Caenorhabditis elegans: one gene and its partner. The protein of the gene in region 1 interacts with the protein of each later gene in a pairwise test. Each region holds a gene or a part of one and is shown on either strand. Other genes may lie near its edges. The genes, in order: prx-12 and emb-30.

Region 1 (13,288 bases):
TCATTGTTTTAAATAATCACAATGATCGCAAAAAAACCATTTAAAAAACCTAATTTCTCCTAAAATTGAGAACTTCCTGGCACGTGCGTTTTTCGATATGTAAATCAAATATGTCAAAAGAAATAAGTAATTGCGTGTAATTGAATTACCGTTTAATTGTAGATTTCTTTTTCTGAAAAGCAAGTTTTCACGCAACTCATTAACAATAGCCTGACTCCTCCGTCTAAAAATGAATTGAAACCCCCCTATTTCTTTTGAGTACGTTAAAAAAGACATTGAGAGCACGTCTTCCTCCGTTTTGGCCACACATTTCTACTCATTTGCTGTACTCTTTTTTTTTGGCCGGAGTTAAAGCTAGTTGGAAGCATTTGGAGCTTTTCTTGGAATGTTATTCACTTTATTTCCGGACTTTTAGACTAAAATCGAAAATGAGCAGATTTAGAGCGACAGTTAGAAAAACATTGTGAGTTTTCCAGCTTGAATTTTATGCATCGCAATAAAGTCCAAAGAGTATGAATTCTTGAGCATTCCCAAAGTGAACTAAATTTTTTTTTGAAAAAAGCATCCTATAAAAAATTGACGAAGAGCTCCTTCTTTTTGCTCTTCCGTTTTTCGTTACTACATTCGTCTTTTCTGAGCTCTTTTCGCTTCTGAGCACACATGCTCTAGAAAATTGTCTCTGTGAAAAAAGAAAGAAAACACCTTCCAAGGCAAGAAATGGGGTAGGTTTATCAGATTACTACTGGAAGAAAAAATTGGTGCTGTGGTTGTGGTAACACTATTGTTTTTCTCAGTATTTCTGTCTTTTATTCCAATTTATTTTCAGTGCTCGGATGCAGTATGGCGAAAAAAAGAACATCAAGCACAAACTTCAGCAATGGTTCATAGAAAACCCCAGTATCAGTGAGTTTCAATTTTCAAATAAAAATAATAAAATAATAAGGGCAAAATCTTGTTCAGGTGCTCGAATAAGATCCTGCAATGTGTTGATCAAACTATTAACATGTATATTATATTGTATTCGTGTCGTCAATGACGAAAGATCATATCCTGATGACTTTCCATTTTCGGAAGAAGAAGCTGGAAAACAAGATGTCACACTTTAGTGAGTCGATTTTTTTCTGAAATTTTGAAAAGAAAATTTTGAAAATTTTTTAAATTAAATGTTTGAAAAATTACATTCAACATTCGGTGTTAAGGACCCCAATTTTCCACTAATTGAATGATTTAGAAAAGTATCATTCCAAGTTTAGAAAAAAAGTAATTATAGTTTTCAAACATTTCAATATAGATTCTTCTTCACACATGTACGTTTATGATACCTTTTTTTTAAACTGAATTTATTCAGCATACCTGTATATCAAAAAAGTTAAATTTCAGTTTATGCAGTTATTACAAAATAATTAAAATGAATACTAATTAGTAGAAAATTGAGAATAACTTTGTTCAGAATTTATATCTCGCCAGAAAATTGAAAACAACATTTTCAGTAAATACTTACTATGGGTAGACTTCGATTTCAAAATTTGGTTTCTACAAACAATGTTTGCTTGCATTAGTATGGTTTACACTATTTTGGTGTTTTATCTCAGTTATTCGGTAAGTCGTTTCAAAACACTACTTTACAAAAAGCACATTTTAATTTCAGGGAAGTGTAGTTAGACTGCTCATCAATATTCATTTCTTACTGGAACTCATCACAAGTTTCCCATTCATAATATCGGTTTGTTATTTTATTTTATCAACGAACAATTAATCATTAATTTTTTTCTGATTTTTATTCCCAGCTTAACCTACTTATACGTTCCGGTGTTTCTCAACTGCTGGCTTGCCAAAGGTGCTCTTCAAGCTATGATGGTGAGGCATTGCCTACTGGGAAGTGTCAAAGTTCATTATTTTTTCAGAACGATCTCAATAGAAAATCTTTTATAAGCTCCTCTGCTCTATTTCGTCAACTTTTACTCTTGTTCTCAGTTCTGGCTTGCCTCATTTTTACCGGAATGTGTAGCATTGAACATTTGCAACGTGCTCGTGGAAAAAGAATTGATCTCTTCACATCTTTCTACTTTGTAATGGTCACATTCTCTACAGTTGGCTATGGTGACTGGTATCCAGACTATTGGGCTTCACAATTATGCGTTGTCATTTTGATTTGCGTTGCATTGGGATTGATTCCAAAACAACTAGACGAACTGGGACAAACATGGTCTGAACGTCAGAAATCTGGAACTGACTTTAGTAGTTGGAATGGAGTGGAATCTCATGTTGTTGTGACAATCACTACTTTGGAAGTTGAATTCATTCGTGATTTCTTGGAAGAATTCTACGCCCACCCCGAAAACCAGGTATTTCAGTAACACACCAGTTCTAAAATAATTTTTGTTCTTCAGAGAATTCAAATTGTTTTGTTGTCGCCAGCTGAATTAGACAACCAGACACGAATGCTTTTGAAAATTCCTCTTTGGAATAACCGGGTTCATTACGTTCGTGGAAGCTCTTTAAGAGATGAAGACTTGGAGAGGTTTCAATTTTTGTTTTCGTTCTTCCGTCGGTAATTGAATTTTCAGAGCCAACGTAGCAACATCAAAAGCTTGCTTCATTTTGTCTGCAAGACATGTCAACAGAAAAGTGGCCACAGATGAACACACAATTCTTCGGTCATGGGCTATTAAAGATTTTGCTCCAAATGTCAAGCAATACGTGCAAATATTCAGAGCAGAAACCAAGATGCATATTGAGCACGCAGGTATGACTCCACGAAGAAAACTTATTCAAAATAGAGAAAAATAGGTTCAAAATTAGCAGTATTTCTTTAAACTTTAAACGATTCTTACTACTTTCTCGATGATTACATACATTCTTTCAGAAGTCTTAATTTGTGAGGATGAATTTAAATACGCTCTACTTGCAAACAATTGCATCTGCCCGGGAATTTCTACTTTCATCACACTTTTAATGCACACCTCTCGTGGAGAGTACGTTTATTTAATTTCGTATAAAATCTTTAATGATGTCATCATTCTAGGGAAGGCCAGAAATCTACCGAACCGTGGCACAAAGTCTATGGATTTCATTCTGGAAACGAAATGTACCAGATTAAAGTTCAAGACAGCAAATTTTTCTGTGAGTATGTCGGAAAGTCATTTAGCAGCACAAGTTTCCACGCGCATAAAGAGTTAGTTGATCACTTATTTGCAACTTCAGCATTTTCTTTTTCAGATACGGAATCGGTTTGATTGCCGTTTCTCCGGATGGGGACACTTCACGTATGAAGTTAAACCCAGGATCTTCTCACATCATTCAGCCAACTGATACAGTTTATTATATGGGATTGACCAATGAAGAGTCACTGACAGACTTTAGAAAAGGCATCCGAAGCCAGCAAAAACGTGCAAATGTTGCATCAACTATTGCAAATATTGGAACGGTAGCTGTAGATGTACCAAGATCTGACAAAACCGAGTTAGTTGGCAGAAAAAAGAAGAAGAGGAAGGAAAAGGCTGCAGATGAGATCCACTTAATTGAAGTTGGAGAACATGTTCAATCTAGTCGTCGCCCGTCAATTGCAATGGTTACTGAGGGGAAAATTGACAGCTCGTCCGATTCTGATCAAGAAGAGATTTGCGACAAATGCCGTGGACCTTGCATACAACATAAACTTCAGCGTACTTACCCACAAGTGAGAACATACATTGGAACATCTAATACTGTGTGCCACATGATGAAAGAGCGTCGGTCGCTTTGCTGTCTAAAGCTTGATGAAAAATGTGCTCATAAATCTGCTACTTCTGCGCATGAGTACCAATGGAGAAATCGGCCAATTATTCTTGCGGCGGATAGAACCAGCAGTGGCATGTACAATTTAGTTATTCCTCTTCGAGCATACTACAGACCAGTGCATGATTTACATCCGATCATCATTCTTTTGGAGTTGGAAGAGCAAGATTCGTTGAATGATGCATTTTTGGATGCAATCTCATATTTCCCAGATGTTTATTGGATGAAGGGAAAAGTTGGAAAGTAAGTGAATGTTTTTATAAATTTAATTCAACAATACATGAAATAAATTATCTATTATTGTTGGGTATCAACGTGTATTGACCCACGACGTGGCTAAGAAGATCGTACAACGTGAACTCTGTGAACTAACTTATTTATTCCTTAGTTTAATGTAATAATAAACTACTCGTCTTTGAATTTCGGATGTCTGGCGGGAGTTGCAGTGATGACCAATTATCATGTTCATTAATATGTTCGTCAATAAGTATACATCATCTTACAGTTTGGATTGCCTTCTCCGAGCTGGTGTAAGCAGTGCGGAGCATGTGGTTGTTGTCAAGGAGACAGCTGTAATGGCAGAGGAGCATACTGCAGATTGTAACACAATTATCACAGTTCAAAAGATTCATCGAATGTTCCCAAGACTTCGAATGATCACTGAATTGACGCATGCGACAAACATGCGATTCGTGCAGTTCAATCCACATAATGCTTATTCATTGGCTCAATCCAGATTTGAAAAAAAGGAACGAAAACGTGGCTCTCATATGCCGTTCATGTTCCGACTACCATTTGCACAAGGAGGTGTTTTTAGTGCTAACATGCTGGATAGATTACTTTATCAGGTTAATTTTTTAATTTCCGCATATTCAAACGTAATATATTCAGGCTATTATCAAACCGTTTGTGGTTGATCTAGTCAGACTTCTTCTTGGAATTGATCAACATAGTGATGGCGGATATTTAACTTCGGTACAATCAAACTAATTGCAGTGAACCTTCATGTGATAAATATTTCAGTTTGTTATCACATCGGATGACTTATGGATTCGGAATTATGGACGATTGTATCAAAAACTATGCTCCTCTGTGGCTGATATTCCTATCGGTATTTTCAGAACCAAAAAGATGGACACTAAGACGGTAAACACAAATCTGCTCAGTATCGACTAATTGTTTTTTTTTTTAATATTTTCAGGTATCCCTTGATCTTCAAGAACAATGCAAAGATTTTGAAAACACTGAAATGGGAAGAAACAAAGATATGTATGATCATGTGAAAAATCGAATGAGACTTCTTAATATAAAAGACACTCATACTTGTAAGTTTTATTCGGAATTAGTTTTCTATTTTTAAACCCTTTCTAGTCAATTGGAAATATGCTAGCCGGTGCAGATCAACAGGTATAAGCCGAAGAGTGGTGTGAACCAGCAGACAAAATAAAATTAGAAAACTTACTTTAATACTTACTATTTACTTTTATTTCATTTCATAATAAGGTTGAAGATTCTTTAAGTTTAATTCTAATTGCTTCAGTGTGATCATTTTTCTTGGTGCGGTTAGACGTGGTGAACTGTATTTTAAATTTCAGTGCTCGAAGGAAGCGATGAAAAGTCGCAAATCTCATATGTCATCATCAATCCTGCTCAAGATTTGGAACTAGAGTCCGGAGATATTGTGTACGATTTTAAATTCTATTTCAGATGAATTTTTGATCAAGAACTCATAAATGAACTTTCAGCTACGTAATCAGAAGTCCAATCCGGAAAGATGCAACCAACGCAAGAATTAACCCAAGAAGGGGTCTAAGACGCAGTAAAAATGTTAGTGAAACCATCGATTCAACAAATCAAGTCCCAACAATTGTCATTGATGAGAATAATTTGTAAACTTGCGTTTTTTGTACAATGCCCAACACAACGAAAAGTTGAATTTGCTGGAATATTTGCTCGTGTTTTAAAAATGAATATTTTTGTAATTTTATTTGTCGTAACATGATTCAAAATTAAATTTGTAGCGCTATACAAACAAACGGATTAAATGCTGAACGTTTGCCGGGCATCCTGTCACTGGACATCTGAAATTTTTCTCAAATAATTGATAGTTTAAAATAAAGAAAACTCACTTGTTATAAGTGTTTACGTATTGGTTGATACATGTGTAGCAGAATACATATCCAGATACAAAAAGCGCAGTATCATTAACTCTTTTCTTCAAACAAATTGGGCATTTATTGGTGTCCAAACTCAAAATTTCCGATTCAGATATGATCATTTTGTGTGGAGGTGAAGGAATAGCTCCGTCAAGGCCAGTCTTTGTAAGTTTTGCCAAATCTGTGTTGTACATATAATCCAAAAACTGTACAAAGAAGAGCCCATAAGCAAAGAGCCTTGAAACGATTCCAGGTAGTCCCAAAATAAATCTCCAGATGCGATTGAAGAATCTTAAATGAATATGTTCGTTTAATGTTCCTCTAGAAATTTGATACCCAGTTTGGAGATGAAGAGGAACAGCATTGAAAGCTTCCAAGTCTTCTGGCGTAAGATGTTTCAGAATCACGCCTGAGAAGTAAAGCCATGGCGAGTGAATGGAGCTGCGGTTCAAAATGTATGCAAGTTGTAGAGCACTTTTCACTGCCTTAAGAGCTGTCTTGATGTATGGCCAAATGATCACAAACATTTTTTGACACTTTGCTTTCATGCCCTGGAATTATAAACGATATTTCAAATTTATTTGTCTATACATACATTAATTGATGACCAGCTTCTGCATTCGTAAACTTCCTTGAGCCTGTCATAAAGCTGATTCAATTTATTCTCTACATAAGGCCATCCGACTAATGTAATAAGCGACATTATTCTTTCCCTACCATCGTTCGGTGGATTTCCTGTGCCTGATGCTATTCGCTTCATAGAATAAAAGTTTTCCGTGAACGACGCTCCTGAAACACATTATCTTTAGGTGAAAAATTGGAATTAAAAAACGTACCATAGTTTCTCAAATAGTGGTTTTGCAAAATGAGATCGAATATGATGTAGTATTCATCAAAGTTTCGGTGAACCGAAAGAAATGTTTTTGGCTTGAAGAATGCTAGATACTGAAATGTTCAATTTCAAATATTCGTTTCACTTTTATTCTTAACATACTTTTACAAGATGCTGTAAAGCCGGTCTGATTGATGTTGCAAGATTTTCTTGAGCGATTATATCAAAAACCGATGGCTGCTTTTCTTCAGTTTTTGGAGAAATTGACGAAGCCAGCTGCGAGGCACGAATAGTCGTACTCATTATTTCCTAAATTTTTCAGTTAAAAATAAGAGGAAATTGTTGAGATTATACTCATTAAAATTTACAAATAAAACCAAAAAAAAGGAGAGATATGAAAATGATTGAACACGACCATCGATTGCCGGAGGAGCGAGGACACTGTCCGTATCATACTACGACGTAGTGTGTCCTTGTCTTATCACGATTAGATAGTAATTGAAATGTGGAGGGTTAGAATTGCAACAATGTAACCTTTGCTTTTCTTAACTGTAGATCTATTGATGCAAAATACAATGAAAATAACGACTCTTTAATAAATGCATGAATAATAAATAAATGGGATTTTCAATTATTTGTAGTGAGTTTTACGGTGCGTGCTAGTTCTTTATGATTTTTTTAAAGAGACACCAAAACGTGGACAACTATATACATTATTTTAAATATAAAAACAATAAATCACGAATTGTTTGCACGCAACATTTGTTCTTATCTTAACTCTTATCAACTTCAATCCGCTTTTGGAAGAACTGAACCAACGTGGAGGGTGGTTTAATGTTTTTATTCAAATACGAACCGCAATTGGGGAATCATCACATAAATGATAATTCTATCAGTAAAAGTTACGGAAACTGAAAAAAAGTCAAACAACTGAAGATCGAATTTGAGGAAAAAACGGAAATGCAAAAATGGCACTGAATAGAAAAACTGTGTGCGTAGAATTGAGCGGTTCACTTGAGTAGATTTTAAGAAAAAGAACATGGGACTGGGAGAAATGAATAATGGGAAAATGATACTCGTAGATTCTAGGTGCGATCAAATGAAATGAAAGAAAATTTCAACTGAATTGTCGACATAAATACATGCATTTTTTAATTAAGTAGGCGCAATTGTGATAATACATTTTCTGAGGCTCTTCATCGATAATTACGTTGATAATCATCTGTGTAGGTGTAGTTTGCGTATCCACTGAAAAAAATAGTTTTTTGAAACATTTGAATTTATATTTAGAACATTTTTCATATCCAGATTTCAATAGCAGGGCTGTTACTTTTTCATTATTTAATATTTTTTGGGTTCTGGCAAACATTAAACATTTTTGTCGCATTTGTAATAATGCAAAATTTTTCTAAAACAGTATTTGTTGGTAATTTGCTACATCAACTTTTTGATCTTTATTGTTGGTTTTTGTGTTTCAAACTGAACTCGTTTTATTTCTGATACCGAGTATTTGAAAGATCATTTCAAAATGTGTAGTTTCAAAAAATATTCCAATTGATATTAATATGCTAACTTACGGCTTAGGCCTAGTGTCATATGTATCGGTAATGAACGATGACATGTGATGTGTTTCAGATGGTGGTTCCACAATGCTGAAATATATAAAATTATATTCAAAATTGCAAAGTTAAGGGTTATTTTTCGAAAAAATGGCTAAGCTAAAGTTATTGTGACACTTTTCTTTAAATAAAATTGTGAAACTTACTATTTTGGGAACGCGTGCATCTTAGAGTATAAACCTATTAATGAGTTTGAAATTATCACAATTGGTATCAACAGAACTAGGCAGATCAGCATACACATCCATGTCCCGTTCTGAAATTATAAATTGAAAACAGTTCCCCAATTTTTGTGTCATTTTTACATATGGATCAATTGTGTAAGCACAAACAGCAGCAGTTGTTTGCCGGGCAATTTGTGTCAACGGTTGACATGACGTGACCTCGCTCTCCATCTGAAAAGTCAAGCAATTATAGAATTTTTTGAAACACTTTTGCGTTATTACCTGGCTTTTGACATGAACTATGTACTGGTCGATGTTGTTAACCATTTGTTGGAATTCTTCTTTAGCTGCACGACCGAAATGCTCTCTCATGTTTTCAGCCAGTAAAGCCTGAGCATGCTGAAGCTTTACAAGAAGAGAAGAAACAGGAACTTGAAGCTGAGAAAGTCTGGAATAAGTATTTTATAGGAATTCAACATTTAAAGAATTTTCACTTTTCATCGAGTGAAGTAATGTTAGAGTACAATGCCTCTAATCTGCTCCTTAATGGTTTCGCAAATTGAATCTCTAACTCTCTGATTTGTTCAAGAACAAGAGTCACTGCCTTAGGACGACCCGAATTTGCGTCTAGAGATTCCTCGAATTCCCGCGTTTTGGATGCTAAGTCGAGTTCATCCATTGCATGCTTTATCTGAAACTCAAAGTTAAAAATTGCTCAATTATGTTTCCAATCTACAAACCGCATTCAGGCCTTGTTGGCTAACTTTTGAAACATTCACTGAGGCGAGTTTCTCCAAATCTCGAAGTTCGCTTCTTGAAATGAATGCATCAAGCGGACGAATTTCCGGCATATTTTCCATAGTTGTTCGCAAGGAAATTTGCAGTTGGTTGTATGCATCTTTTTCAAAATCCTGCAAAATTTATATTTAACATATCTATGTATAAGTTTTGTTAGTACCTGTAGTTTGTTCAAATGATACTTTTTGTCAAATCCATAAAAGTTGTACAGCGTCTCGTTTCTTGAACACGCTCTAATAATTTCTGCCGGCGATTTCGACTGAAGAGTAACCTCGATATCATTTTCAGGTGTGTGATTTGCTTTCCAAAGATTGATATATCTATCAGCAAGCTGCAAAAATCTTTATACTTGGGAGAACAAAGATGAACCAACCGATAACGATTCCGGATGGCTCAAGGGATTTCTCATGGGCTGGCACACCAAGTTTGAGAAGTTTCCAACAGCAAACATCAATGCAGAAGTTCCCACTGCCAGGAAGACAAAGATAAGAAGAAAAGCCCCAATTCCACTGAAATTTAAACCTATGATTAATTTAATTGTAATATAAAACTTACAAAGAATAAAACTTTCCGCCAGTGCTTCTTACACAACAATCATCGTTGTAATAAGTTGGACGTCGACCACATATTCCATAAAGAACTCCAAATAGGAAAATGAGAGCCAGGAGAATAAACAAACTTGTGATAACAAGAGACGCATACCAGCTGTAAATTTGGCAATATTATTCTAATAATACCAAATAATTGGTTTCACAAAAACAAAACAAAAAAGGAAGTTTTCAAACTGAGATCATAAATATCAAATTTGTAGACCTTTCTGATAAGACCTACCTGTATTGCATGTATTTGAGAGTTGGTGTTTTTTTAGGGTCCGATACATAAGAAACAGTGCTATACAAAGCTTCAAATGTTACTTTGCGCAATTGAGTCGAAATTGTTTCAGCTACCAGAAACAGATCATCTCCGATTTGTTTCAACATATTTTGAGCGGCTTAAAAATATATATGAATGTATAACATTTCTAGTGTTATTGTCTTACAATATGTTTCTTTGTCAATTTCGTGTTGTATTCTGCTCTCTAATTGCTCAAATTGATTGTTGGATGCAGCGAGTACTTGAGTAATATTCGCATTGACAATTTCGGAAAGCCCGGTCTCAGTTGCATCGGGCAGGAATTTCTGAAAATAAGTGTTGTTTTTTTTAATTATAGAAAACGCCCCGTCTTTAGTACAACTCACTTGGTCAATTTTGAATTGAGTGACAGCGAGACTCTCAAGGAGTCGTTCTGCTTTTGCACACATGCTTCTAACCGGCTCGAGCTCATTTTCAAGACACTTGACTAGCTCTTCATTAGCCGTATTTCGTAATCGTGAGAACTCAGCCTAAAAATATTACAATTAAACTGAGAATAAGAGTTTTAATAAGTACTTCAAACCGTGAACCTTCTTCGTTTAGAAATCTGACCTTTCCATGAACTGACTCCAACCCATCGTGCATTTCTTGCGCCACTAAAAAATACCGATGTGTTTTTTTTTACATTTCGTAATTATAAATATGACCTTACCTTTGCTAATGTTCATGAAAACGTCAATGACATGTGCGCCAGTCAGTTTTTTGACGCGGTCCACTACATTATATCCGGCAGTGGATAGTTGTTTGGTAATGGTTGAATTGAGGACCTGGTAATCATCGATGAGCAACTTTCGTATTCTCTGTAATTATAAAATTCAAGTAACCATTTAAAAACAACAAAAATTACCATATCACTGTCTCTTTTGTATGACTGCAAATCGTCGACACATTGATTCATCCGATTTGGAAGCTTATCCAAACCAATTTGAGCATATTGGCTTGTCATTAACAGGGTAAAAGCAACAAACCTAGAAAGTAATCAAAATTAATACATACGCGTCAAAGAAATAGTGTTTAACTTTTCTTATGCTCTTCAAAATTAATAAAAATGGTTAGAAACTTACGCATTCGCACTGACCAGTACAAATAACAACAGATTGCACATGCTTCGTTTGCATCCGTCATATCTTGCATCAGTATTCTGTTTTTTAGAGGATCGAGAGCAAATACACACGCAGCACCTAGAATTGAAAAAAAATATTGATTTTCTTGTAAAAGTTCACTAGTTGTTTCTTACTTGTAGAAGAAATAAAAAACCACAAAGAGCACACTTATCGCAACAAGTCCGACGCTCAGTACAATCCATCCTTTTTGAAATTCGATCCACTGAAAAAAATAAACTGGTTTAATCTCCGCATTGAAGTATTTTCATTTTTATTTTATCTTTTTTGAAGATTCCACTTTTGGACTGTTGAAAAAGTGCTCTTAGGTAGTCAACAATATAGTTTCTTTGCTTTTCGCTTTTTCGTGCTCGCCGGCTACCCTAAACCTAAATCAATTCACCCGAAGATCGCACATTGTGTAAAATGCAAACATTTTTCTTTTCCGATTTCTTTACCCATTTTGGTCTTTGATTGTAAAAATTAATGCTATTGCTCTTGATAGAAATTTTCAAAATAGCTGTTTGAAAAACAGAGAACCAAGAAAATTAAAGAGAAGGAGAAAAAGAGCTATCATCTTTTCAAACTGTTCTCTCTCGTTTTTTTCTTAATTGTTCATAAATTAGGAAACAGATGTAAGATTGGGAGATTGTGGAAAAAGATAAAAATGTCATGTTATGTCATGCGCAACTACCAGTTTTGATAGAAAGTTCAAATGGCCATATTCAAAGAATTCATTCAAAATTGTTAGAATCGATTTGCACAGAGAAATATATATATACTCGTTTAATGTCCCTTGTATTCACTTTAGCCAAGCCTGAAAACCTTGTCCATTAAAGGATGATATGAAAATTGGCAAACTTGATGAAGCATACGCACCAGCGCGCTATAGTTCCGTACATCAAATTCAAATTTCCTTATTTTTGACTTGTCCCTAATACTTTTCATGGCACTTGAACAACTCAATCATTTCCCTTCTTAGCGCGGCTCTCACGCATGAATCTTAGGTTTTGCGAAACATGCGTAATCTGATACTTTGTCGCCGATTGAATGGATGAAAGAAAAGAGCTATACACGCGCACTGCAATCGCTGACCACAACTACCAACACCACGCATTCCAGTTCCGAGTCGCTTAACATCGTCATTATTTGCACTTGCGACACTAGCCACAGTCCACTTGTTTTTATAAAGTTTCTGTTTCCTTATATCTTTCACATGGAAAGAGCCGAAAAAAGTTGGCGGAAAGAGGTGATTCATCCGACTGGAAGTGATGAATGAGGAGCCAATGGAATATAATGAATGATTCATTGGTTTAGCGCGCTAGTCTCCGGAATGAAGTCTGGGTTAAATGATCAAATAAACTACATCCTAAAATTGCACAAAATAAAGCTAATAATGTATTTTGAACAATCGGAATGTGTGACAAATAATAAAACAGTTCAAAATAATCTTTTGCCATTTTCATATCTAAAATACATTTTAATGTGAACGTTCAATATTAAATTTTAAAATTTTAAAACAAATTCATTGTGTTAATCTTCAGGGAACATGCATTCAGTTTGTATTAATTTTTGTTTTTTTTTTCAAAAATCTTGGATGTGGCATTATTCCACTTTTGAAAACGTTACAATCTTCCCATAAATATCTATTAGGCCCCATAAAACCAAATTTTCTTTGCGTTTAGCCTGCTTTTCCTAGACCCGATTCGTACTTTGTGAACGGTTCATAAGACACCAATAAAGTGATATATTCATAAATCCGCTTTCCCCTTCAATTTCTACTCCGCCCAAACTTTTTATGACCAACGTGTCCAGTTCATCAAGTTCTCCCCCCTCTCTTCACAGGATGTACTAAACATAATTCCATTTTCGGCAAGTTAAGAGAAGGAATTCCGCATTTTCGTTCATTCCAAATCCTATTATCATATGC
Region 2 (17,458 bases), on another chromosome or scaffold:
GTCAAAAAATTTGGAACGCTTCACGAATTTGCGTGTCATCCTTGCGCAGGGGCCATGCTAATCTTCTCTGTATTGTTCCAATTTTAGTATATGTTCTTGGAAGAACGATTTGTATGAAATATTATGGAATTATATAGGCACACCTTACAAAGTGACTGACAGTGTAGAGGTTTCGCCTATTACCAAAAATAAGACAGAGGTAGTTTATTGACTTGAGATTATTGATTGGGTATAACATTGGAAACACTCAGTGTTGGAAGGTCTCAAAAGGAAGGTCTGTAAATGAAATATGACTCATAATAGTCCGAAATATCCAGAAAACATGATTATGAAAAATTTTGAAAATTTTGAAAATCTTTTTAAAGTTGGCAGGTACTGGTGATTCATAATAAAATATAATTGTCAAAAAACGCGAAAACGGTTTCAGATTTGAAAATTTTCAGACAGTTGTGGTCATTTGCCAAATTTTTGAAATATTCATGTTTCTTGAAACTTTTTGGGCAATTTTGCATATTTGAACCCATATAATGTTAAAATACAAATACTCTTTTTTTTTGGTCAACTTCCAATATTAATATACTTTTGAAATTTATTGAAAATTTTTTAACGAATTTTCTATATTAATTATTTGCATTTAACCATTATGGGAATCGACAATATGCAAAATTATTTTTAATTTGTCTTTTTTTAACTAAATTTTTTGGTAAATTTGGCAATTTACCAAAACTTTTACAGAACATTTTAGGAGGGATTTTTCAGGAAAATATTAGAATTTAAATGTTTAATTTTTATATCTGATTTCAATTTATACATATTATTTAAGTTTTTGAAAGTTTGTGTTCTCAGTGCTCTCACAAATTTTACCAATTTCATACCTAATTTCTTCCAATTTCCAATTCAATTTTTCACTTATTCGGAATATAATTACCAAGCATTTCCCACGACTCTCTAATTCCCAATTGTTCCTTTTATTACACCGCATCTACCAAATGACAGGTGCGCGAAGTGTGTGTAAAGCTTTCCCGCTCGGATTTCTACCTACATCAGGGTCCCCGGAAATCGTGTAAAGACCCCCATCTTCACTTGAACCTCATCTATCCATCATCCTTCGTCTAAATATTTACATTTTGCCGCCTTGCTTTACTTACAAAATTCCTGTCCGCTTTTTTCCGTTTCCGCATAATATTCATAATCGGCAAACAGATTAATACATTTTGACATGGAATTATTAACAATTTCCCTTGTTTCTAATAAGCTTCCGCCATTATAATTTCTTCTTTCTAATAAGAAATTTAGAATTTCTAACTTTCCAAATTCTAACCAAACGCATGAAATATTTCAGCATGGTCTCCAGTCTCACCTCTGTCTTCCGTAATAGAAATCAAAATCCGGAGAAAAAATCAAAGGACAAGAAAGGAGGTAAGTAGACATCTGTTATCTCTGTTATTTTTAGTTTTGTCAAAAAAAATTGTCGGTTGGCAAAATATGTGCTGTTTTTTCTTCGATAGACTTTTTGGAGGTTTTTTTTTGACAAATATAAAAGTGGTGTTTTGTCAGTGGGGATTTTGAAAAAAAAATTCACATTAAAAAATTAAATTTTTTTTAAAATTAATGTATTCTGAACATTTTGGGCTCAATGTTTCTTAAATGCATTTTTAGAGCTCCCAACACATAGTGTTTCCAATGTTATACCCAATCAATAATAGCAAGTCAATAAACTACCTCTACACTATTTCTGGTAATAGGCGAAACCTCTACACTGTCAGTCACTTTGTAAGGTGTGCCTATATATTTCCATAATATTTCATACAAATTGTTCTTCCGAGAACATATACTAAAATTGGAACAATACAGAGAAGATTAGCATGGCCCCTGCGCAAGGATGACACGCAAATTCGTGAAGCGTTCCAAATTTTTTGACTAATTTCTGACATAGAGTTTTACATATATCTTCTCTGTATTGTTTCAATTTTAGTATATGTTCTCGAAAGAAATACTCTTAAAATAATCTAATTTTACCAAGAGCCATAATTCAACACTTCAAAAAGTTAGTAGTTGTTCTAAATTGTCAGCTACATTTTTGGCGAATTGCCAAATTTCTGAAAAAATAGTTTATAGATTTGTTGCCAACTAATTTCTGAATTTTGATCTACCGTAATGCTTATAACATATGGAGCGCCAGTGGGAAAACTGTTGGAAACGCTGTAATAGTGCTAACATGACCAAACAACATAGTGAAAGAGACACCACGAATTCAAGATCTGGCCGAATTACGGTTTCCGGATTTGACACTGTTCCAGATCCGGAAATCTACCAGATCTTGAATCCGTGGTGTCTCTAGTGAAACTTTTCATAAAAACTTTTATTGTAGTGTTGTAAACATATGAGAGTGCTTAAGCTACTCAAAAATACCCATTTTCCCGTAAATTTGGAAATATACCAGAAAAAATTTTTCAAAAGCCAAATCATTTTCGAGTCACGATAATTGGTAATTTTGGATTAATAATGTATTTAGACAACTTTCTTACTGCCGCCACTCCATCTTAAAATACAAAGTTTATACGAAAACTGCATGTTTCAAAACTGATTGGAATCTTTTTGAAATCTGTGCATAAAAGTCAGTACAAAACCAATCAAAAGTAGAAGATATTTCAAAGCTCATCCATCAGAAGAGCTCATCCAGAAGACGTTTCTCTTTTCCTATCTACGTCATCATCTAACACGTTCTCAACATCTTTACGCTCTCCTTGTCTCGTATACTCTATAGGTTTTCATGGCTTATTCTGGCATGGTGCCAATTTTTCTGTGCTCTTCGGGTTCACTGCTCCCGTTGCTTCTCCCTCCAACAGAACTCATCTTTGTGTTGTTACTTTCTTTGTACTTCTGAGATAGTTTTTTGGAAAGTTTTATGAAAAGGAGAGAATTGAGAAAAGGCAGCAGCAGCAACCTGAGAAATACTGTGCGTATGTTTTGTTTGACAATTTCCTACTCTTCTTATGCGGTGTGTCTCAATTGTAAATAGAGCGAAAAAGAGCAGGAGAACAACTCAAACTCATGTGAGATGTTTCAGTTTCGACGAGCAGCGAAGAGCAACCTACTACTCCCGCCATGGTTCTCGTTCCAACTGTAACTATTCAAGTATGTCAAAACTATATTTTTCAAGTAAAAAAATATAGCAACGAATTTTTTGTAACTTTGTTTATTAATTCAACTCTCAAATTAATAAAGCTCAAATTTTTTGAATTAAATATAAATTAAAATATATTTCGTTGTTATAAATACAATATTCCTAAACTGTATTCATCTTCCTAACTAATTTATGTATTACAGGAAGCACCAAAAGTGGTCGAAATCCCAACAAATGGGCTCCCAGAGCCTACACCCTCTAGCTCAGTTGTGCAAGAAATTGAAATTCTGGCTCCAAATGAGGACGAAGTGAAGGAGGAAAAACCATCGGATTGTACTACTTGCAAGAAAATTGAGAACTTTGTGATGCCTTATTACGAGAGTTTGAAAGCAAAGTATCAACAATTTGTCGTTCGTATTTCGGATCCAGCACTTCATGCAACTATACGCTCCGAGTTTGCGTAAGTTTTTTGGATACATTTTCTGGAATGTAAAATTTTCTTACAATTCTAAACAATAATACCAGAAATTAGTCAAAAAATTTGGAACGCTTCACGAATTTGCGTGTCATCCTTGCGCAGGGGCCATGCTAATCTTCTCTGTATTGTTCCAATTTTAGTATATGTTCTCGGAAGAACAATTTGTATGAAATATTATGGAAATACATAGGCACACCTTACAAAGTGACTGACAGTGTAGAGGTTTCGCCTATTACCAGAAATAGTGTAGAGGTAGTTTATTGACTTGCTATTATTGATTGGGTATAACATTGGAAACACTATGTGTTGGGAGCTCTTAAAATGCTGTCATTAACAATTTGACTCAAAACAGTCCAAAATATCTAAAATATCATGATTTTGAAACCTCGAATATTGTTCAAAATTTTGTTAATGCTTCCAGTCACATTTTTGGTAATTTGCCAAATTATAAAAACATTTGGGTTCCCTTCTGATATGGGTGCTCTCTAGAAAAAATAGTCATTAATATGCAGAACGGTGTTAAGTACACATGACCAAATCCCATAATAAAAAGCTCAACATTTTTGTCAGATATTTTTTTAAACATATTCAGTTAACGTATTCGTAATTTGCTAAAATTTTTGGAAGATTTCGCCTTTTGGAAATTGTTTGGGCAAAGTTGCCTATTTGAACCCCCTACACTAATAATAGACAAAATCTATAATAATTAATATACTTTCAAAACATTTGTTCATTCCAAAAAAGTTAAATTCCAATAATTTATTCTAATAATTTTCAGTGAATACTTCCCGAGTGTCCTTCTGGGCTTTGCAATTTTCTTCTTCGGAATCACATTTATTTCCTTTATCAAACTTTTGCGTGGTGTTTCTACACAACCATCATTCTTCTGTAGATACTTCTCCGGACCATTCTCACCATTGTTTGATGCTCTTTGTGAGCCGGATCCATATGTTTTGTCTGAAGAGTTACCAAAAGTTATGAGTGGATTGCTTGATGAAATGTTTATAAGTAAGTTAGATTTTATTTCGTTTACAGTAATCTCATGGCATTTTCAGCAATCTCCGAATTCTTCCAAACAATTTCAAAAGGTTTCACTGTGTTTGGAACTTTGTTCACTGCAATTTGGCATGGATTGTCCGAAAATGTACGTTTCATAAAAAGTAAAGCACACGTCAATAATGCATCGTGAAGTTCCAATTCTAGAAGTTGAGATTTTGCCGCTCCAGTCCTTTCTAGATTAAAAAAGTAATCCTTGAAAATCACATTAATGTGCTCAAATAACCTAATAAAACGTTTAACATTTTGCTGGATTTTTTCTAGTTTTACTAAAGCCCAACATTTCCAACAGTTTGGCAATTTCGCAAAACTTTTATTAAAATACTCAAAACCAACCAAATATGAAACTTTTATTATAATATTCGGACATGTAGACCTATTGTAAGTGTATCTCTCCCAATTTCAAATTTCAGGTCTTCTTTGGATTCCATGAGCTTGGAGAAAACCTCGGAGAAAACATAAACCACCTTCTACATTTTGTTGTTCAATTTTTCCATCAAATTATTCATTTAATTCTCAGTTCAATTGCAACTATTGCAGGGGCCATTGCCGGAGTTTTCACTTCTGTACATGATTATTTAGAGCCTCCACAAAATGTGTGGTAAGATCCTATTTGGAAATAACGATCACATTTTTTTCACAAAGTTCTAAAAAAAGTTCATAATGGAATAAAGTGTTGTGAAAAAAATGAAATAGTTTTTCCCAATAGTATCCATATTAGTTAAATATTTGTTAATTCCAGATTAGCCATCATATTATCCCTTGTCACATTTAGTCTTGCACCTCAAGATTCCAATTTTTCAGTTTGTATCACGATTTGTTTAATTTTAAACTGGAAAATAAGAGATAAACAATGCCCGAGATTTAAAAAAATTGAGTAATTATTGAGGTGCAAGAAACTAGAGATAATATTTAATAACCTCACTAGTGTGACAATTTGAAATTCTGTAGTCTTTTTTCCTGATAATCTTTTAAATTGCCTGAAGAAAGCCATCCCGCATGAATCCCTTGCATTTACTAACCTGTGTATTCTCCCCCATTCATCTTTCAGTTTTTCACTTCTTCAGGAATCATTTATTACAACAATTCTGATTCTCATCTGATTACAGACCGAACTCCTTCTAATTTGTACATATTTCTTATTTTCTTATGCATAAATTACTACTTGATCCAAATAAAATGTTCTTATAATTTTAATTTTTGTTCTTTGTCAATACTCAACGTAACGAATTGTATTTTAGATTTAACAGACTAGAACTATGCTTGTCGCAAACAACTTAAGTTCAAACTCCCGCTCGTTTTTCTTTAAAGGCGCACTGCATTCCTATTGTGCGATATCTCACCACGACAGCTGGCAGCCAAGTTTCGCGCCGTCTCGCACTCTCTCACGCGCAATCGATTGGCAAGCGGCTGCTGTCTCTGCCGCAATTCGTAATTCGCACTCTTTCTGTGACACAAAATTTATCGATTTGTGGTCGCTTCGAAAGTAAGCCGAGTTCGACATCATCTGAAGTCACTGCCCGACGTCTTCTTTCTCCGAAAATTCAAGTCCCGGACGGCAATATTTGGCAATTTCTACTCGACTATTCAGCACGCGTATCAAACCCAATCCATACTTTTCCGTTTGTTTTCGTCTTGCCCTTTTGAGTAAAAATGGTGCGCGTGTGCCGAGTAGTCCCTAAAGAGTGAGCATTTCATTATTTTTGTTTATTATTGGTCTTGTTTGAAGCTTTTCTTGGAGACTGCCAGATCAGAAGGCCAGATAAACTCCATGAAACGCTGTTTGGATTTGGCATTGATATATTTTTTATATTTTCGATAACATTTGTGGTCATTGCATTGATTCTCCGTTTCACTACCGCCTATATTCCTTCGTCTCGTTTTAAATATAAAGAAATTAGGAACATGCGTGTATGTTGGCGGTTGAGAGAGCAGTTGAAATGATTTGAATGAGAAAATTTCAAAAACCACTGCAGTCGCTGCCCTACACGATTTCAGTTAGGTGTGAGCGATTAAAACTTGTTATTGCTTTACATGTTTTAACCTCAAGTTTCATGTTTTATTTTCAGCTGGTCTAAATTTCAACCGGTTGGCAATGTCATTCCACGAACCCGATTCATTGTTTTCAAGACACCAATCAACAGTCAGTTATCCACGAAAATTCATAAAGAGCAGAGATTCACAACAAATGATTTATTTCGACAGGTAAACTGGACACATTGTTTTCCCTACATAACAATATTTTGTTTCAGTTATCGGAACGTGGTCAGTACCTTGGATTAGTGGTCGACTTATCAGACACGGACAGATACTATGATAAAAAGGATATTACTGGCATGTGTGTACAATATGAGAAAGTCAACTGTCCTGGGAGAGGGTAAATCACCAGATACCGTATTGAAACTAATAAAATTAACTTCCAGGTTTATCGAAAGAGATGATTGCGTTGAGTCCTTCCATCAAGTAATTCAAGATTATACTGACAAATGCGACGATCCAGATGCTTTGATTGGAGTACACTGCACTAATGGTATTAATCGATGTGGCTATCTGATCTGCCGTTTTTTGATTGACCGGCTTGGATGGAGTTCACATGAAGCAATTGACGCATTCGAACAAGCCAGAGGATATTCGATTGAAAAGGGAGCATATGTGATGGCTTTGCACAAGGCTGCTAAAGACAAGCGAGATAAACAAGTGGATTCGGATTCCGACTCGTCTGAGCGCCAAAGAAAGAAGAAGAATAAGAGAAAACACCGTGAAATTGTGGAACATGAAAATATTGTGCTCATTAATACAATTATTGGCGAGTTGGGAAGTCAAGCTGCCAGCGTATCTGGAACCGACTATCAAAATTCACCAAACGGAGTATCCGTGGACCCAGGACAACCACAACCGCACCACTGGGGATTCGCTATCAAGGTAATAGAGTATCACATCTTTATATTCACCAAGTAATTTTTTGCAGAGATCGAAATACGCTCAACTCAATCAACCTGTTGCAAACGGAGCCAATACACCACCTGAGCCGTCAGAAGGAACACCACAAGAAGAAGAAGAGTTCGAGGAAGACTTTGAAGAGATTGAAGAAGAGACGGAAACAGAACCAGGAAAAGGGCAATCAGTATCATCTAAAAGACGTGCACGAAGGAATAGAATGCAAAAGTACATGCAGGTTATGCAACGCGGAAGATTCCATGAAATTCAAGCTATTCGAGAAGAGGTCGCATTAAGTCACGGCAGTGCCAGAGATTAGGAGGCAGTGCTTCGTTCTTCTATTAAATTTTTTAGACTTTGTGAATCATTTTGCTCAATCATTTTCGTCTCCACAATGTTCTCCCTGTTCAACTTTTGATCTTTTATCGTTCCACTCTTGTACCTGACTTTAAACGTGCACTACGCACATTATTCATATTGTTATAATTAATCAATTTTTATGAACTTTGTGATAATTCCATTTTGTGTGTTGTGTTCTTTCAAATTTCTAGGACTTGAATATTGAATACCTGTTCGAGCTACGGACCAGGCACCCCTACTATCGATTCTTCATTTCAGATGGACTTTTCAATAGTCAAAACTCAAATTCTCAATAATAGGCGGACATTCCGCACACCATTCAAAGTGTCGAGTATGTGTTTCAGTTCGCAAAATGATCTCATCGCTCTTGGATCGAAAACTGGCGAAATATTGTTGAAAAGAACATCATGGAAAATGATTTGGAAGGTAACAGGAAGATTTCAAAAATATTATCAAATCAGGATATTTCAGACCAATATCAATATGATTCAAGCTGTCGGAACCGAATGTAAATTGGACAGCTCTGTTTCTGCATTGCACTTTTCACCGGATGGACGCTTTCTCGCAGCAGCTACAAGTAAAGGCATAATACATTTGTTAGATGTGGAAACGGGAAAAGTTCGATTTTCAGTCAAGTAAGAGATCTATATAATAGTTCGAAATATCTATTGAAATTCAGAGCTGCATCCGAAAAAATCGCCAAACTCCACTGGAATTGTGTTCGTGAGAAGCCATTTATAAGCAATCTTGGAGAATTCACTACAAGAATCAAAAGTAAGAATGTTTTATTCTATCAAAAAACAGAAGTAATCTTTCCTATTATTTCTTGTACGAGTAGAATCCGTCACCAGTTTTTCTTCCAAGTTTTCCCTCGGCAACCAGCTTATCTACCAATGGACTTGCTTCGAATAGTTGTACTTCTGGATACTTTGCTGCCCATCCATCCATGACGAATTTGACCGTGTCGAGACCAATGTAGTCGGCCAGCTCGAATGGTCCCATTGGATGTCCTGCTCCCAACTTCATGGCTTCATCGATGTCCTGAAACGATATTTGGAGTTTTTAGAAAGCTGAAAATCAACATACGGTCATTGATGCATCTCCTCGTTCATACATTCTCGCTGCTTCGAAAAAGTATGGAATAAGCAGACGATTGACAATGAATCCAGGACTATCCTTACAAGCGACTGTTGTTTTTCCAACAGCTGTTCCAAACTTGATCAGCGTTGCATATGTTTCATCCGAAGTGTCATCAGATCGAATTACCTCGAGAAGCTTCATAACTGGCACCGGATTGAAGAAGTGGAGTCCTCCGAAGCGAGTTTTATCTTGCAATCCTTTGGCGACATCCTCAAGAAGGAACGATGAAGTGTTCGTGGTCAAAATCGAATCCTTCTTGCAAGACTGCTCGATTTGGGCAAAGATTCCCCGCTTCAAATCGATGTTCTCAATGGCGGCTTCGATGATCAGATCGGCATCAGCAACGGCGGTTGACACATTGTTACACGTTTTGATACGTGACATTGTGAGAGTCACGAAATCCGACTTTTCCTGGAAAAAACAAGAATGAGAATCTTCAAACAATTACGATATATACCTTATCAGTTCCTTTTTGCTTTTTTGAAAGATGCGTCACACTTTGACTAATTGCCTTCATCGCTCTATCAAGTGCTTTTTTATTAACATCGGCCAGCATCACATTGAATCCACTACTCGCCGTAACTTGAGCTATTCCCGATCCCATCTGCCCTGATCCAACGATCGCCACGTTTCTGATGTTTTGCATGGCACACTTTGCTGTGAACATCATCTGAAATTAATTCTAATTAGAGACTCCTTAATCAATATCGAAAATTTCAGATGTTGAAGCCATCGAAGGAGCTATCGAATTGGCAGAAACGACACCGAACATCAGTCAAGAGGAAATCGCATTCGTATACCAGAGGCTTGATGAGGTAAGAAACTAACCTTGATGATATGATCGACGTGTTTTGCAACAAACAATTGAGAGAAATAATTGATTTTTCAATCAAATTCGACCATATCAGATCTACTGACGTGGTATTTTCCGTGGAATTGTTTAATTAATTTCACATGAACTATTCGAAATTAAAATTTGAAAAAATCGACAGAATCTGACTTTTTTCAATGAAAAAAAAACTGTTCCTCAATAATTTTGTTTCAGGATGGTTCATCTTTCAAACACGAAGATGCACATAAAGAAAGTCTCGAGCGAACTCTGATTTCAACTGAAACATTCCGTGAATCTCTTCAAAATACGATCCTTCTAGCAACTGATGACATGGATTCGAAGATTATTGTACTTGTTGCTGGTGTGTTCCCATATATGGAAATTGATATCAGTGACACACTTCTACAATACAATCAAAGCCTTCTCATGCTCTACGATATGCACTACAGTTCAGCGTTTGGTGGCGTATCATTTCTCGCCACTACATATGGGCCATTTCTGGACTGCAAACAAAATGAGTTGAAGCCTCCTGGAGCTGAACCAAAAAAAGATGGCCAAGGATGTCATACGCTGCTTTTCAATGTTAAATTGAATATTAATTCGTCGCTTTGGGATACTGCGCTGAGGTAAGCTTTTGAATTTCTGCGATAAGCTCGAACAATTTACTTTTAAAAATAAATTTAGATACATTCGCCTTCTATTTGGCTTCAACTTGTACAGCATTTCTCTGGAAACTACAAAACGAAATTGGGAAGAGCAAATAGACAATCTTCACTCATTATTCGATACAAAAACGAAAGCTGTAAAAATTGGAAATGTGCTTCTCGAAATGCTGCTCTCCGGGTCGACAGATGCGGCTGGCGAGGCATTTCTTGAACGAGGTCTCGGAACTGATGGATTGGATAAAATTGAGCTTTTTGCAACGAAGCACATGCCGTATGTAATATTACCTGAAATGTTGCGATTTTTGGGTGAAGGTCTCGACACGACAATTTTTGTTAAATGCAAAGAGATGAGCGCCTTTAAAGAACACAGCGGAATTTTAATTGATTTTTTAAAAAGTTTTTCCTTAAGAAATTTTTTAATTAAAACAAAAAAATTTAAACAAATCATGAAAAAAACTTGAGCAAACCCGATATGTAAGTGTGATTACAGTACTCTTTAAAGGTACACACCATTTTCGCATTTAACAAAAACTCGTCGTTTCGAGACCCGTTACGGTAGTTTTGTCGTAAAAAGCGCAACATTTCGCAACTGGAATATATTATTTGTTACTAATTTTAATCGGTTTTCAGGGAAGTTTGTCGTATTGCTCGGGGACAACTCTCAACGTCAGCCCGAAATTTGTGCTTCCAGCGATGTGAATTCTCGACATCATTATCTCGTTATGCAAAGTTTATTCAATTGAAAGATGACGACAGTTTTCTTTATGATGAGGATCCGCCAGCATACCTGTCAGAATCGAATATTTGGCTGAACACTTTGGAAGAGAAAATCAATATTCTTGATATGAAAACTCGTCATCTTGGAATTCAATGCTTGACTATGATGTAAGAAATCTGACGATCTAGATGTAGACAATAATGATAATTTAAAAAAACCAAATTTCAGGCAAGAACTTGGACATCTCGTCAAATGGATATCCATGACAAAACCATTTGCAAAAACGATGAAAGTTAATGCTTTGATGAAAATAAAAAGAATGAACATTGCAAAAATTCTGCTTGTAAGCCATTTATATCCTTTACTTTTATACAGTACACTTTTTTCAGTACATTGTGAGAAATTTCATTCCGGATCCAGAAGCAGTGAAAGATATCGAAAACAGACTTTTCAACCTCAAGGAGTTGGTTTCGAAGCAAAAGAAAAAAGATTTGGAAGACAAGTTTGATGAGGTTGAATATCTCTATAGACTTGAGAGAATTGCCGAAGTTGAAAGGAAGAAATTAATCGAAACGTATGTTTTGTAACATGACTTCTAAATTTTTGAAGTATTCTGAAACTCAGAATTTTTTTGCGGAAAATTATTGAGATATTTGGAATCAGGATGCCAAAAACCCCTATAATCCCCAGATTTGTTGGAAACACCCGAGGCATCGTGTTTGCTACTGGATCATAAGATTCCCGAAAAAACCTCAAAAATCAAGAACTTTAAGAATTTTGGTGTAAAATTTAAAAAAAAATCTCTGAAGCTCTTACAGCAGTTTTCAATTTTTTATATTCACCAAGATAATAGATTTATTGACACCCTGATATCAAATACCACAATAATTTTCTACCAAAAATTATTATTTTTCAAATATATTCCAATTTCAATTTGTAATTTATATATTTTCAGATTCCACGAAAAGTTCCGATTTGCCGATCTAGATGATGACGACTTGACTCCATTGCTTTTTCAAGAATTGGATCATCCTATTGACATTTTTACTGATAGTATGATGGAACAAAATGATTCTTCCCCGTTTCTTGAAGAAGACGAAGGAGAGCCAGAGCAAGAAGAGCAAAAACCGGATGAGGAGCCTGAACCAGAAGGAGAACCACAACCTGCATGTGATTTGGATAGAGTTGGCTCATTTTTCGAGAAAGAGTTGTCACAAAAAGCGCTAGAAGTTCTTCCAAAATGCGATGAAACATTCGATTGTGTTCTGAATGAAAGAGGAAGTCGTATGAATTCAATAGAGATTCAGAAAATGGGGTGAGAAATTGGAAGTTGACTAGTATAATTTTATATTCAATTTTTTAGAATTCTACGGGTCCTTGAAGATTTGGCTGCCACACTATCTTCTCCTCAGAAAATTCATTGTGATAAAGCTGGAAATCAGAAAAAGTTGGAAGTTTCATTCATTTATGAAATTACTTCAACACCTACCCATCAAGGATATCAAGACGCAAAGATCAGCAGTGTCACTCCATCATATTACAAAAGACATCCATTTAATCAATTATCTGGAATGGGGTAATCTTTTCATTAAAAGCCAAATATTTTTGACTATTGCTTATTTCTAATTTCAGACGATCAATTCAAGTGTCTGTGCTTCAAAAGAATGAATTCAGCTCAATCGTCATTGTACCAACGAGTGATGTATTGCCTGAAGATGAAAATGAAGTGAACGATCATGTTGAGAAGCTGAAGAGATGCTATGAGTTTGAGGTATTTTATATATAAAAGTTTTCACATTTAAATAAGCTTTTTTTTTTAGAAAATTGATGTCACAGTTGATAAATCGAGCGCCGAGAATAGACCACCAGGGGAAACTGATGCAATGGAAGTGGATAGTAACGAGCTGAGAATTGATGTGGATCTTGGACCAGTGGTTTGTTTGCGGATAATTTTAATTATGAAAAACACGAAAAACATCACAAAAATGCTTTAAAAAATTTTAATTTTCGGTTTTCCCGTCAATACCTAACGAGACCCAATCATTGGGGGCGGAGCGTTCTCATTTTTTTTTGAAAGTGGAGCACTGTTGCGCCTCGATTTAAAAAACAAAATTTTTAAACGTATTTTTTTCAGGTACCTGAGTACGATACTCTCATCGAATTGAGTCAAGTTCACCCCCTTCATCATGGAGAACTTGTTTTATTGGTATTTTGATTAGTAATTACTATGATTCCACAAAATCACATTTTTCAGGGAAAATTCACATCCGCACAGGAAGGAACTGGCGTGATGTCACAAATGATGCGATCAATATCTTCATATCCTCATGAAATCCCAGAAGATAAAGATGTATTTGCAAAGAATAGCTCTGAAGATGGAAGTTCAGAAATTCCAATCGAAACCTTAATAATTCATCCAACAATTCAACTGGCTGCCTATCTTCACGATGACGGAAGTAAAATCACGATTGGAGACATGAAACCAGAGGTTCCACCGATCGCTGACTATGAGGAGAAGACTGTTCGAAAAACTTTCCGCGACTATCAGAGACGTCGAGAACGATATCGGGAAGATATGGGAGTAATGAACATGAATGATGTTCAGTATGATGTTCTTGTTCAAGAAGCTATGGATAGTGGACGTGACTTGACGGATAATGGAGAATCAGATGAGGATGAAGAAGATGATGACATTTAGTTTCCAATCGATGGATAAATTATTGCATTTCTATGTTTATATTTCGTATTACTTTGAAATTATTTCTCCTTTCCAATCTATTGCATTTCTTTTCTTGGCTTTCCCTCTTACAATCTCATTTTGCTTTTTGCGGGCACCTATAAACGTGTTTTTAGTCAAAACTCGTTTCTTCTAGTTTTAGTTTGATGCAAATGTAAGGCTTGAGTTTCAAAGTTTTCAAGTTTTCAATAATTCATCTTTATTTTTTATAATCAGGAAGCTGATATCTTACGAGGGCGTAGAAAAAAACGTCGCTTGAAAACAAGGTGCAAGTAATAATTTAAATTTTAAAAAAATCTGAAAAGTCCTACATTCAAATTGATTGCAAAACTACAACTTTCCAAAAAAATTAAGAATTTTCGCCTAAGATTTACTCATTTTCTAGAACTAAATTCCTTTTTAACAAGAGGTTTCAATTTCAGGGCAATTTATCACTGGGCCAAACAGATTCTGTCAGACATTGTGCAAAGATGCTGCGAAGGAGTCTATCATAAGCTTCGAGCTATTCATACTCGAACAAGTGATTAAATACAATAAATTCATTTTCATGCAATAAATTTTTACAATATAAATAAATAAACAATTTACAGTTAGTGATTAGTATTGCAAATTTTTTAATCAGAGATTTGGAAGGCAAAGACGGCGGTAAAGCTGCACGTCTGTAGTCGTCAGTGTGGCACGTTTGGAATGGGCGGAAATGAGTGATGAACCATCGAACATTTGGACCAACAGTGCTTCCGATGCTTCCTGAAGAGCATTGATGGCGTCAGAACGAATGCGAAGGTCTGAGGAAAATGGAGTGGAAGTCTGCATAATTTCGCGGACGAGGCGTGCGAACGGAGCCTGAAATTTGGAATTGTTTAAATGTGGAATGTAGTAAAAAATATATACCTTTGGAATCAGAAGGTCTTCAGATTCTTGGTATTTGCGAATCTCTTCCAATGCCTTCTGGCCCGGTCTATAACGTCTCGTTTTCGAGATTCTGTTCCTTCCGGCTATCATCCGCACGCGATCGGAGCTCGATGAACCAGCTCTACTTCCATTTCTGCCATTTGTACCATCCGTGTCATTACGATTCCCCACATTTATTGGTGACTGATGGTGACTGTTGGCTGCCGTGATTTCTTCATCGGAGCTATCGTGTCGACGGTGTGAGGGCATATCATGACGGCCGTGGGAGTAATCGACAAGATTAGTTGAATTACTGCCGACCTGAAACAAATATTATGTTGTTTGAAATTTCTCACACAAATTTGAAACTAACCGTAATATCCACAGAAGGAGCTCTTCTTCGAGCTTGCTCTAAGTCGTTGAATCCAACAGCCTCAAGGTCGTTCTTATACTGATCCAGAAGAGCGATAAGGTCAGCGTATCCTGTGGCGCTTGTGTTGAAGCCCGGCACTGAAGTGACTCTGAAACACCATACATTAATTTGTAGCACGAAAACAAAAATAATTACCTTTGTGTGTCATGTTGGAGACGTTGCATGATCCTTGCCACCCTCCCATTCTTCTCGGCAATTTCCTCAATAATTGGTCCGTCATCGGCCATTGTTCGAAGATTATCCTGTTAAAATATAAAATTTAAAAAACTGAAGCTAAATTAAGACAATTTGTTTGAAGGTTAAAAGGAATTAAAGAAGCAATAAAAACGAACGCAGTTTAAATAAGGAACGATTGGCGGCAGGAGAACCATTGAAATACGAAAATGGCAAAACATATTTCCGGTGAAAATAATCTGAGAGTCACAAAATCAGCAAAAATTAGAAAATTCTGGAAGAAAAATCAAATTTTCGCACTTTGAAAAGAAAATGCGCAAGTAACACGAGAGATGCGCCAGCCATTTCCGCTTGCGCGGAAGACGATTATCAAAGTAGGTCTAGAAATAATACTTTTAGCTAAACAGGGAACAGGGCTGTTGCAAAAAATAATTTCCGCCCAAAAAACAAAAAACAAAAAAGCGAATTTTTCAAAAAAACCAAAAAGAAATCAAATTTTGATTTCAAACGGAACAAAACGGAAATTTTTCTTGAAATATTCTGTTGATCTTTCATAAAATAATAAAAATTGAATGAACGGAAGGTTTTTTGTTCTTCTTTGTTTATTTGTTGAATCAGTGTTGTAATTTATTTTTTGGTCTTTTTGGTTCCAGAAAACCGGGGAACATTTTAAAGAGACGAACTGTTGAAACTCACGAGTCGATATATATATATATATAAGTACTTCGGTGAGAGAAAATAATTTTTGTATTTAGACCTCAAACGATATATGAAAATTCAGTTCAATTAGGTTACAAAGACACTTTTGAATTCGAAATTCTATTAATTTAAAGGTTGAAGTTGAGTGTTAAAATGAATGTAGGAGCCCAAGCTGAGTTTGGCATTTTCGCTTTATCAAAAATATAAGAAAAAGGATCATAGTAATTTACCGTATTTCCTATATCAGTCTTGCATGCAAGATTTTATTCATACTGCCCTGTTTTGGTAAATTACCAAAAAGTGCGTGGTACATTCGTTTAACACTTCACTTCAACGTTTAAATGAATAGAATTTCAAAGTCAAAAGTCTCTTGGTAACCTAGTTGAAATAAAATTTCATATTCCTAGGGTTTGGACACATTTTTAATTTTACTTACTATTGAGAAAAGATAGGAGTTTCACTTTGAAAAAAAATCACCAAATTTAGAGCCACCTCTTGTTAAAAAGTAATTTAGTTCTAGGAAATGAGTAAATCTTAGTAAATTAGTAAATGAGCCGTTCGATAGTAAACGAGCGGAAGTGAAAACATTAGTAAATGAGCGTCAAAGTAAATGAGCCACCGTTAGTAAATGAGGATTTGGCTTCTCAAATCTCTTTACCTGTATTAACCGAAAAAAGTAAGTTCATGTTCTGAATAAATTTGTCGCTTGAACAATCTTCTTTTTGACCTCGACAGACTGGAATTCTGGAAACCTGAATTATTACTAAAATTTTACGTTCCTAACCGTGTAGCTTGAAGGCTTATTAGTTCCTCCAACCAATGCTAAAAAGTCAGAAGCCGTATTGTATTCATTGCTGATTCATTTAATTTTCTATTATTAAATGACATTTTGAGTCTTCTCAATCTCCCCTGAAAAGCCAATAATAACACATTTCAAGCGTATTCTTTATTAATTGAAAACTAGATGACCATCGAACAGGTAATGTACGTGCGAAGCTAATCTTGTGGTAGATACTAAATATGATTATGGATAAACCGTTTTTAAACTATACATTTAGATTTAGCAAAAATTTGTTCAAGAAGAAGCACCTCATAGACATTTCCTAATTTGTATATTTACTATGATGCTCATTATGAGATCACTTTTTTTGGAGATTTTTTGCTTTGAGATTGCTTTGACGGAAGTTTGAACGTAGGCGTACTCTGCGTGT

The links.
Region 2: the proteins of prx-12 (region 1) and emb-30 interact in a two-hybrid assay, tested with the Caenorhabditis elegans proteins (one large-scale study listed by BioGRID).

The regions. Positions count from the first base shown.
Region 1 is NC_003284.9:11,387,081-11,400,368, reverse strand, and holds prx-12 (Peroxisome assembly protein 12), read right to left. Parts: upstream 7,077-13,288; 5' UTR 7,069-7,076; coding exon 6,928-7,068; intron 6,879-6,927; coding exon 6,770-6,878; intron 6,723-6,769; coding exon 6,529-6,722; intron 6,485-6,528; coding exon 6,270-6,484; intron 6,225-6,269; coding exon 5,907-6,224; intron 5,859-5,906; coding exon 5,801-5,858; 3' UTR 5,750-5,800; downstream 1-5,749. Other genes in the region: slo-2 (RCK N-terminal domain-containing protein), read left to right, coding at 827-903, 961-1,105, 1,491-1,599, 1,649-1,723, 1,774-1,857, 1,905-2,345, 2,391-2,521, 2,568-2,746 and 9 more; prmn-1 (PRoMiNin (5-transmembrane domain glycoprotein) homolog), read right to left, coding at 7,962-8,013, 8,343-8,417, 8,531-8,640, 8,690-8,779, 8,831-8,996, 9,043-9,239, 9,289-9,459, 9,507-9,677 and 10 more. UniProt on the Caenorhabditis elegans protein: Component of a retrotranslocation channel required for peroxisome organization by mediating export of the PEX5/prx-5 receptor from peroxisomes to the cytosol, thereby promoting PEX5/prx-5 recycling.
Region 2 is NC_003281.10:9,432,217-9,449,674, reverse strand, and holds emb-30 (Abnormal embryogenesis protein 30), read left to right. Parts: upstream 1-8,214; 5' UTR 8,215-8,216; coding exon 8,217-8,384; intron 8,385-8,429; coding exon 8,430-8,593; intron 8,594-8,637; coding exon 8,638-8,732; exon of another isoform or gene 8,733-8,777; coding exon of another isoform or gene 8,778-8,999; intron 9,000-9,044; coding exon of another isoform or gene 9,045-9,509; intron 9,510-9,555; coding exon of another isoform or gene 9,556-9,765; exon of another isoform or gene 9,766-9,768; intron 9,769-9,818; coding exon 9,819-9,913; intron 9,914-9,926; exon of another isoform or gene 9,927-9,976; intron 9,977-10,143; coding exon 10,144-10,556; intron 10,557-10,614; coding exon 10,615-10,866; intron 10,867-11,225; coding exon 11,226-11,480; intron 11,481-11,541; coding exon 11,542-11,656; intron 11,657-11,702; coding exon 11,703-11,887; intron 11,888-12,268; coding exon 12,269-12,628; intron 12,629-12,676; coding exon 12,677-12,889; intron 12,890-12,945; coding exon 12,946-13,084; intron 13,085-13,133; coding exon 13,134-13,247; intron 13,248-13,447; coding exon 13,448-13,519; intron 13,520-13,567; coding exon 13,568-14,011; and 2 more. Other genes in the region: F54C8.6 (uncharacterized protein), read left to right, coding at 3,071-3,138, 3,331-3,587, 4,384-4,613, 4,661-4,749, 5,075-5,266; putative tyrosine-protein phosphatase pir-2, read left to right, coding at 6,315-6,346, 6,731-6,866, 6,914-7,038, 7,085-7,583, 7,630-7,917; putative 3-hydroxyacyl-CoA dehydrogenase F54C8.1, read right to left, coding at 8,778-8,999, 9,045-9,509, 9,556-9,765; Histone H3-like centromeric protein cpar-1, read right to left, coding at 14,669-14,893, 14,942-15,262, 15,315-15,462, 15,510-15,601. UniProt on the Caenorhabditis elegans protein: Probable component of the anaphase promoting complex/cyclosome (APC/C), a cell cycle-regulated E3 ubiquitin ligase that controls progression through mitosis and the G1 phase of the cell cycle.